Linked DNA regions of Coturnix japonica. The main gene of each other region encodes a partner of the protein of the gene in region 2 in a complex. Links are inferred from orthologs where the notes say so. Each region holds a gene or a part of one and is shown on either strand. Other genes may lie near its edges. The genes, in order: RAB3GAP1 and RAB3GAP2.

Evidence for each region.
Region 1: the proteins of RAB3GAP2 (region 2) and RAB3GAP1 are in contact, whole or in part, in a cryo-EM structure (PDB 8VYB), measured with the Homo sapiens proteins. The link is inferred for Coturnix japonica from reciprocal best matches to the Homo sapiens genes RAB3GAP2 and RAB3GAP1. Residues at the interface, in NP_036546.2 of Homo sapiens: Arg197, His198, Pro199, Gly200, Ser276, Pro277, Phe278, Asp279, Met281, Lys282, Ser285, Asn286, Ile287, Gly289, Phe290, Asn291, Ala292, Ile294, Arg377, Phe378, Gly379, Leu380, Pro381, Asp382, Arg385, Cys395, Thr397, Leu398, Arg407, Arg415; in NP_036365.1 of Homo sapiens: Thr19, Ser21, Trp23, Glu24, Glu142, Ser143, Asn146, Leu147, Leu149, Ser150, Ser153, Ile154, Ile169, His170, Trp173, Arg174, Met176, Arg187, Asp189, Glu191, Met192, Val193, His194, Leu195, Arg196, Pro199, Tyr202, Ile211, Ser214, Lys215.

What each region holds. Positions count from the first base shown.
Region 1 is NC_029522.1:27,696,923-27,701,317, forward strand, and holds the start of RAB3GAP1 (rab3 GTPase-activating protein catalytic subunit), read left to right. Parts: upstream 1-1,284; 5' UTR 1,285-1,377; coding exon 1,378-1,395; intron 1,396-1,512; coding exon 1,513-1,568; intron 1,569-1,967; coding exon of another isoform or gene 1,968-1,987; exon of another isoform or gene 1,988-2,313; intron 2,314-2,346; coding exon 2,347-2,422; intron 2,423-2,739; coding exon 2,740-2,872; intron 2,873-3,104; coding exon 3,105-3,183; intron 3,184-3,542; coding exon 3,543-3,662; intron 3,663-4,101; coding exon 4,102-4,267; intron 4,268-4,395. Other genes in the region: MAP3K19 (mitogen-activated protein kinase kinase kinase 19), read right to left, coding at 1,968-1,987. UniProt on the Homo sapiens protein: Catalytic subunit of the Rab3 GTPase-activating (Rab3GAP) complex composed of RAB3GAP1 and RAB3GAP2, which has GTPase-activating protein (GAP) activity towards various Rab3 subfamily members (RAB3A, RAB3B, RAB3C and RAB3D), RAB5A and RAB43, and guanine nucleotide exchange factor (GEF) activity towards RAB18.
Region 2 is NC_029518.1:16,360,186-16,362,993, reverse strand, and holds the end of RAB3GAP2 (rab3 GTPase-activating protein non-catalytic subunit), read right to left. Parts: intron 2,486-2,808; coding exon 2,339-2,485; 3' UTR 625-2,338; downstream 1-624. Other genes in the region: IARS2 (isoleucine--tRNA ligase, mitochondrial), read left to right, coding at 36-187. UniProt on the Homo sapiens protein: Regulatory subunit of the Rab3 GTPase-activating (Rab3GAP) complex composed of RAB3GAP1 and RAB3GAP2, which has GTPase-activating protein (GAP) activity towards various Rab3 subfamily members (RAB3A, RAB3B, RAB3C and RAB3D), RAB5A and RAB43, and guanine nucleotide exchange factor (GEF) activity towards RAB18.

The DNA.
Region 1 (4,395 bases), on a different chromosome or scaffold from region 2:
CTCCTTAATAATGTGCCTAATATGAATTATGTGTGTGGACTTTTTCCATCTAGAGGTAAAAAACACTTTCAGCATTCATTATACATTTTATTACAAGTTATTCCTAACAGGTACTATCGCTGGCAATGGTTTGGGTTTGTTTGCTTATTTGTTTAGCTCATAAATACCCATTTTTAGTCATAAATGCCTTTTTTCCCTTGCACTTCAGCTCAGGGCTCTCAGTGGAGCTACTAATGGGAAAGCAGCCCAGTGTTACAGTGCAGCCAGTGGTAAGATGTAAGCAACAGATGGCAGGTACCAACTCTGTCCTTCAGAGTCCTTCAGGATTGGATTTGTATTTCCAAGTCGTGACAGAGCTCAGTGGAAACAAATGGCCCATGTAGCTCCTGCTGGATTTAGTATTTCGCCACTTACTGCTGGTCAGCAAAAGAACGTGGCCTTTGTTTCTCATTCCATCAGCAATAAGTACACAACAAGCCGTCAGCATACGGCAGCCTTCCCAAGAGACTCATCCGTTTACCCCAGATTAAATTAATCATAACAATTCTACATGTCACCACCCTACATGAGAGAGAAATATTGCTAACACCAAACAGTGCTGCACCCTGACATCGGGCAGTGCTGCCATTGGAGGTTTATAACAGAGGAAGCAGAAGAGAACCAAGATCAGGGACAACCGATATTGTGTGGAACTGCAGTGGAAAGCAGCACTTTTGATTTCTCCTTATGCTAAACAGCAGATAGCCCATCAGAAGGGCGATTATATGAGCCTGTTAAGGGTTATACGCTGAACTTTGCCAGACTTTCCCATTTTTTTGTATATATAGATATATATATTTAATTCAAAATAACAGCTGAACAAGTTCTCAGCTAGCCCTTACCGTGTGTTTCAGCAGCGAAGTGTGGCAGAGGCACAGATTCCACACACACCAACGTGCCGGTGGCGGCGGGGCAGCGGGCTCGGACCTCGTCTCTGTCCCTATCTCTGTTCCTTATCTCTGTTCCTATCTCTATCCCTGTCCCTATCCCTCTCTGTCCCTGTAGCTGTCCCAGCGGCTCGGCCGTTCCGCCGCGCTTCGTTTACACCGCGTTGCCAAGGCACCACAGCCCTCTCCCTTCTCTTTCAATGCTTCCTTTACCTCTACGTCATTTTCCCTTTACAGCCAACACCTCAGCGCTCACTATGGCCGGTACATTCTCATTAATTACTCTCCGTCCCTTTGCAGGCAGCCTTAAGGATTACGTTATTTATTTGTGTTATTTATGACGGAGAAATAGCATGAAGCGCGCACTGGGGTCGAGGCGCTGTGTGAGGAACCCGCCCATCCCGCGCAGCTTCCCGTCAGCCCTTGTGCATGGGGCGGGACGCAGGGCAAGATGGCGGCGGATAGTGAAGTGAGTTGTTTGTGTCCCCCCATCCCGTCCATCCCCAGGTCTCCCTCTCATTGCTTCTCTTGCTTCTCCCTCTCAATGCTTCTCCCTCTCAATGCTTCTCCCGCTCTCTCCCCGCAGCCCGAGTCGGAGGTGTTCGAGATCACGGACTTCACCACCGCCTCCGAGTGGGAGAGGTACGTGCTGCCGCCGGGCTGTGGCCGGCCCTGCGTTTACATAAACAAGTCCATTTTCCAGTGAGAATATCTATGATAGAAAAAGATTTTAAGGCCTGTGTTTAAATTTGAATTTAGATTACGTGTCTAATGTGGTTTTTATTTTTCTCTAAGCAGTGAAGCAGGATTCTGTTTTGTTGCAGTACCAGACAAACGTATAACATCAGTCTCAGTTCTTCCACTCATGTTGTCTTAATGTATGATCATACCTTGATCTGAATTAAACCCTGTGTTGGCCATAACTGGGACATTTTAATTTTAGCTGGTCGTACTTGAAACTCTTCGCAAAACCAATAAGTGGGGGTGAGGGAAGGGTGAGTAGGGGAGACAGAAAGTGTGTTCCTCTATGTTAGAAATTACCTTTTTGAGGAAAAAATCATGCTTGAAGTGTAACTGGAGCATTCAGCAGTGAAGCAGTTGGGCTCGTGGATCCCCAGAGGTCCCTTCCATCCTACAGTTGTGTGATTCTGTGAAAATGGGAGAGACTTTATAAACACTCAACACGTGTTCATTGCTAAACATAAGGCTTATCTGGGATGTGAAACTAAAAGCACCGCTTTGTTTGTACAGGGAAGCAGGCTATTTTTGTTGTGGTCCTTGGTATGTTACTGTTCTTTTTGCTTTGTTTTAAAGGAGTTCCCCAGTAGGACTACTTGTTGCCTGCTTTTGGGAGTTGAATTTACAACACGAGCTGAGCGAGCAATCAGGAAATATTAATACCTTTTTCCCTCCTTAATAGATTTATTTCAAAAATAGAAGAAGTGTTGAATGACTGGAAACTTATCGGGATTTCTTCAGGCAAACCTCTGGAAAAGGTCAGTTGGTCGGTTAGGGCTTCTATGGTGGTGATGGGCAGAGTAGAGGATGCATGTGCTTTAGATGTGCAGTTTCATGTGAAGGAAATATTTAACTCTTCATTGCCTAATAGCGCCGAGGACTTCTGTACTCGAAATAAAAGCAATTAACATAGATTTTAGCATTCCGCTAACTTTAAGTGCTTTGAGAATTATCTTCGTAGTAAACCATGACTAGCTGTAAAAAAAAAAGGAGAGAAAGGGGAACAAATATTAACCTGAATTTATGTGATCAAGTAATAGCTTTGCTTGTTGCTTTTGCTATTTCCAATCTGCAGGGTGTATACACCACAGGAACCTGGGAGGAGAAATCAGATGAAATTTCATTTGCAGACTTCAAATTCTCAGTTACACATCATTATCTTGTGCAAGAACCTGGAGACAGAGATGGGAGAGAAGAAGGTGTAGAAGGTAGCTGACAGTATTCTTTTGTGCCTGAAATGTGTCACAGGTGTTGTAAGGATATGACAGAAGACAATTTCAGAGTGCTGATTTGCATCTGTGTGAAATCTGGGGGGGGGATCTGATGGGCTGGACTTGACATTTCTGATTTTTACTACATCTTACTGTGAACAAATTGCTAAAGAAGTAAACTTCTGGTTATAGGGATGCTGATGGTCTTAGGTGTCACATCTTTTTGCAGATGCCCTTCCTCTGCCTATGCAGGACTTGCTCTGCATGAACAATGACTTTCCTCCTCGAGCTCACTGTCTAGTAAGATGGTATGTATGCTGCCTTTCTTCTTTAACACAGAGAAGCATAGCAATAGATTGTTTTTAGGTTTAATTACAGTTCTTACTAACCGTAGTAAGAAACTCAGGACTGGTACACCTGGAAAATCCTCCTAACATTCAGTAGTGTTTGAGCATTGTTGAATTCCTGTAGTGCTGTGATGATCTACAGTACTGCATTCCCAGTCAGATCTTGGCCTCTGTGAAGAAGTGACACACAGCAAAATAAGAGTCATATCCTGTTGGTGACAGTTGGATTATTCAGGTTATAACGTTTCTGACAATTCTGTGTTAGAGCTGGTTTATTGGAGCACACAGATATATTGCCTTTTCCCTGCTCTTTCTCTAAGGTACGGCTTACGTGAGTTTGTGGTTATTGCTCCAGCTGCAAATAGTGATGCGGTTCTTAGTGAATCAAAATGTAACCTGCTGCTGAGTTCTGTCTCTATTGCTTTGGGCAACACTGGCTGGTAGGTGAAAGCATGAACTTTTTTATATGCTCAGGTGAAACTAGCGTACTATTTATGTAGTTCTTCATTTCATTAGGAAGAAGTTTTTAGTTGTTAGTGAATTACATTGTGTTTCTTGCATTTGCACCATAATGCTGTTACAAAAAGCCTTTTAAATATCTCATCACTGTGACAATATAAATACTGATTCAGTATGTTATTTTTATTCACTGTTGTATGGAAATCTCAAAAGCTTGTCATCAGTGAATCTTTGCATTTGTGTTTCTCGTGACAATTTTCAGGCTTTTTTCTCTTTAATGATGAAGTTAAGAATATTTTTCTGTGATTCATATTAAGCATTTTGAACTGTGTTGTCCTAAGAAAAAACATATTCTAAAAAATAGGGTGTTTAAAAGGCTATGAGATGGCAGAGATAATCCCAAATGTGGATGTTTTACAGCCAGGTGCCACTGTTTGTGCAAATACATCAGAAGTGGCGACGCATGTATGTTGGAGAGTGTCAGGGTCCAGGAGTCCGAACTGACTTTGAAATGGTTCATCTTCGCAAAGTGCCCAGTCAATATACTCACTTATCGGGATTGCTGGATGTCTTCAAGTCCAAGATTGTAAGTGCATCTGTATACACATACCTGATATTAAGAACCATTATTCTGTTACGACAACAGAGTGTCTTCCCAGATATTGTTGCTCTGTATCTAGTAGTAGAAATTTTAAAAAAAATGTTATTTATTTC
Region 2 (2,808 bases):
GTGTAGATAACCTCAGCAAGGTTTTTCTTTAACAGGTGGAGATATTCGTGAAGAATCTTCCTATACAGTCATAGCCCTACCCACCACCAAAGCCAAATGCCCTCGCTGCAGGAGGTACACTTCAGATTCCTCAAGCACTCCTTGCCCCCGCTGCCTCAAAGTCATCTCTGGAAAAGGAAGCACATGAGGATCGAGTGCCTACACACAGGCTGCTCCAATGTACTAAGTAACTGAAAGGCGTAAAAGCAGTGGTGAACCAACAGCTCTTGGAACCACTGCTGCTGAACCCACCCCCATCCCCTCCCCAGCCAGAGCAGAATTTATGTGCTTTGGGTGGAGCTATATGTATATATTCAACTGTGTATATGAATTTTCTGCTTAATAAAAATGATGGTTCAAAAAGGAAAAAAAAAAAACCCACAACTGATTTACTTGTTTTAGTAACCCATCTTCTCTAAGTGCAGTTATACTTGTTATATACAGTTATACTATATACATCTACACTGAGCAGCCTTACTGCTCATTTCATATGGGCAGGAAATAGGATGGCAGAACCCAAAGAAACAGTCCTTCAGAGCATCTCCTCTTCAAACAAAAAGCAGCACCACAAAGAAGGAAAAAAAACACATTGAAACCTCCTCAAATTTTATTTAATCAATTTACACAAATCCACAGCAAATTAGACACAAAATAGCACTATATACAGAATATTACTTACAATACATTACAGATTTGATTGGTGTAGAGTGTCAGCTCTGGCGTGATATTTAGTTACAGTGAGGTCCTTTACACAACTGTACCAGGATACAGGAATGTAATGCAAACTAAGAAATGATTTTGCTTCTCCTCAGGTTTCAGGACTGATTCTCAGGCCTGTCTGTTTGTGCAGACAGCTGAAGTGCTGCCAGGCAAGGCAATACAGGCACTGTCCAGCCTTGCCTTCTGGCATTATTCCCCTACACCTGTTTCACTTCTACACAGAGCAGCACCGGCCTCTTACTCATGCAACCTCATAAAGGAAGTCAAACACTGCATCAAATCTTGTCAGGAAGCCTTCATCATCTACATTAAAGTGCAGAGGTCAGCAACTGGGGATGCTGAACAGCTGCCCATCTTACAGAGCTAACCACCTACCAAGCAGTTTTCAGGGGGAGTCCAACCTAAGATGACAGCAGCGCATACACCAGAAAGGTAAGACCAAATTCTGCCTGTAACAGTATAGAATGCTATGAAGGTTTCTTGCAGGATACAAGATGGAGTAACTTCAGCTGACTTCAAGGCAAAACAGCCTACAACAACGCTATTTTCCTTTCCTGGCTTCCCTTTAAGTAGAAGGAAAACTATTAAGTGATGTAAGATAATCATTTGTAACACCACTCTGGTAGTGAAGATATTCACTACATGATTCCCTGTAGGAACTGTCAATATAACGGTTTTGTTGGGTTGTTTTTTAAGGCTAAGGTACTCAGAACTGAAGATCTTCAGTGAAGTTGGACAACTATTGAAGCAAGTTTTGACGAGTTAACACGTGCAGAGACTTAGAGCATACTACATCTTCTACAGTGGTAGAACAGGGAACAACCTTACAGTACATACAGACCTACGGAAACTCAGCAGAGCTTAATAATAAAGGATAGGGATGTAAATCCAGTTTTAGCTGAAGCCCAGCACACCCTCCTAGAGACAATGCTGAGAGGCTAAAACTGGATGAAAACAGGTCCATATTTGTGTCTGGGGATGTGGTTCTCTCTCCCTTCCCAGCTGATTCTAACATGGGCTCTTCTCCCTTTGTGTAAGGCATGTTCCATTCTACTTCTAGTGCACCCACTGTCATCTGTGTGCAGTTAGCAGACAGGAGCCCAACACCAATTCTAGCTTCTGGAAAAGCAGCACCAGCATCACAGGATAACTTAAAAGACTTGAAGTTTTTCCTCAGATTTAATTCTGCAGCTTCTTTAGATAAATGATACATGGAACATTGTAACTACAGCAGTTATTGCTAGCGTGAAATACAAAAAATATCACAAGACATGATTTTGTTGACTAAAACTGCTGTCAAATATACCCAATTCAGACTACTGCAAGAAGCGCTCAAGTCAAATAAATAACTAAGCGGTTCAGATACTGACAAGTGTACTAGAAACTAAACATCTCTGTACTAGTGCAGAATTTAAGATACACTCCAATTTAAAATTACCTGCTGGAGCTGTGGGGTGGGGAACGTTGTTCTTCTCGTTCAACAAAAGCCACACAAAAGTTTCTTTCTGTAAATGTCAGCCTTGGTGTGTAAAATCATGCACTGTAGCACTACGTAGCAGAACCGTTCTAAGGAAGAACGTCATGATGAGATGGCTTCTACGGCCTCTATCAGATTCAAAGCCAGGCTATATTGCCCATGATTCTCTGGTAAGTGCTCTATTACTCTGTTCACCAGTTTAGCTGTTGTAGCAATTGGCACTTGCACGTTTTGAAGTTCCTGGGGGTCCTATATAAAAGAACAAACACAGCATTAGAGCTCTTCTTGCAGATAAGCACATACGCCTTCCTCGTCTTGTATAACCCAATTACTATTTGGAATTAAGCTGATGACCCAGAAGTATAATGGTACTTCTGGTTATTTTGCCCCTCAGACCCTTCTTAACTCAATCCTCTCTGCTAATCAATATTCTCAATCAAATTCAATCGTGCAATCTGGAAAACATCACATCTGAAGTCTGGATAAAGAGAAGCACTGACATCTGAATGTTGCCACTAGAAAGGACTGCCAATAGTCTTTCTAAAATGAGCACACATTTTGCCAGACCTTCA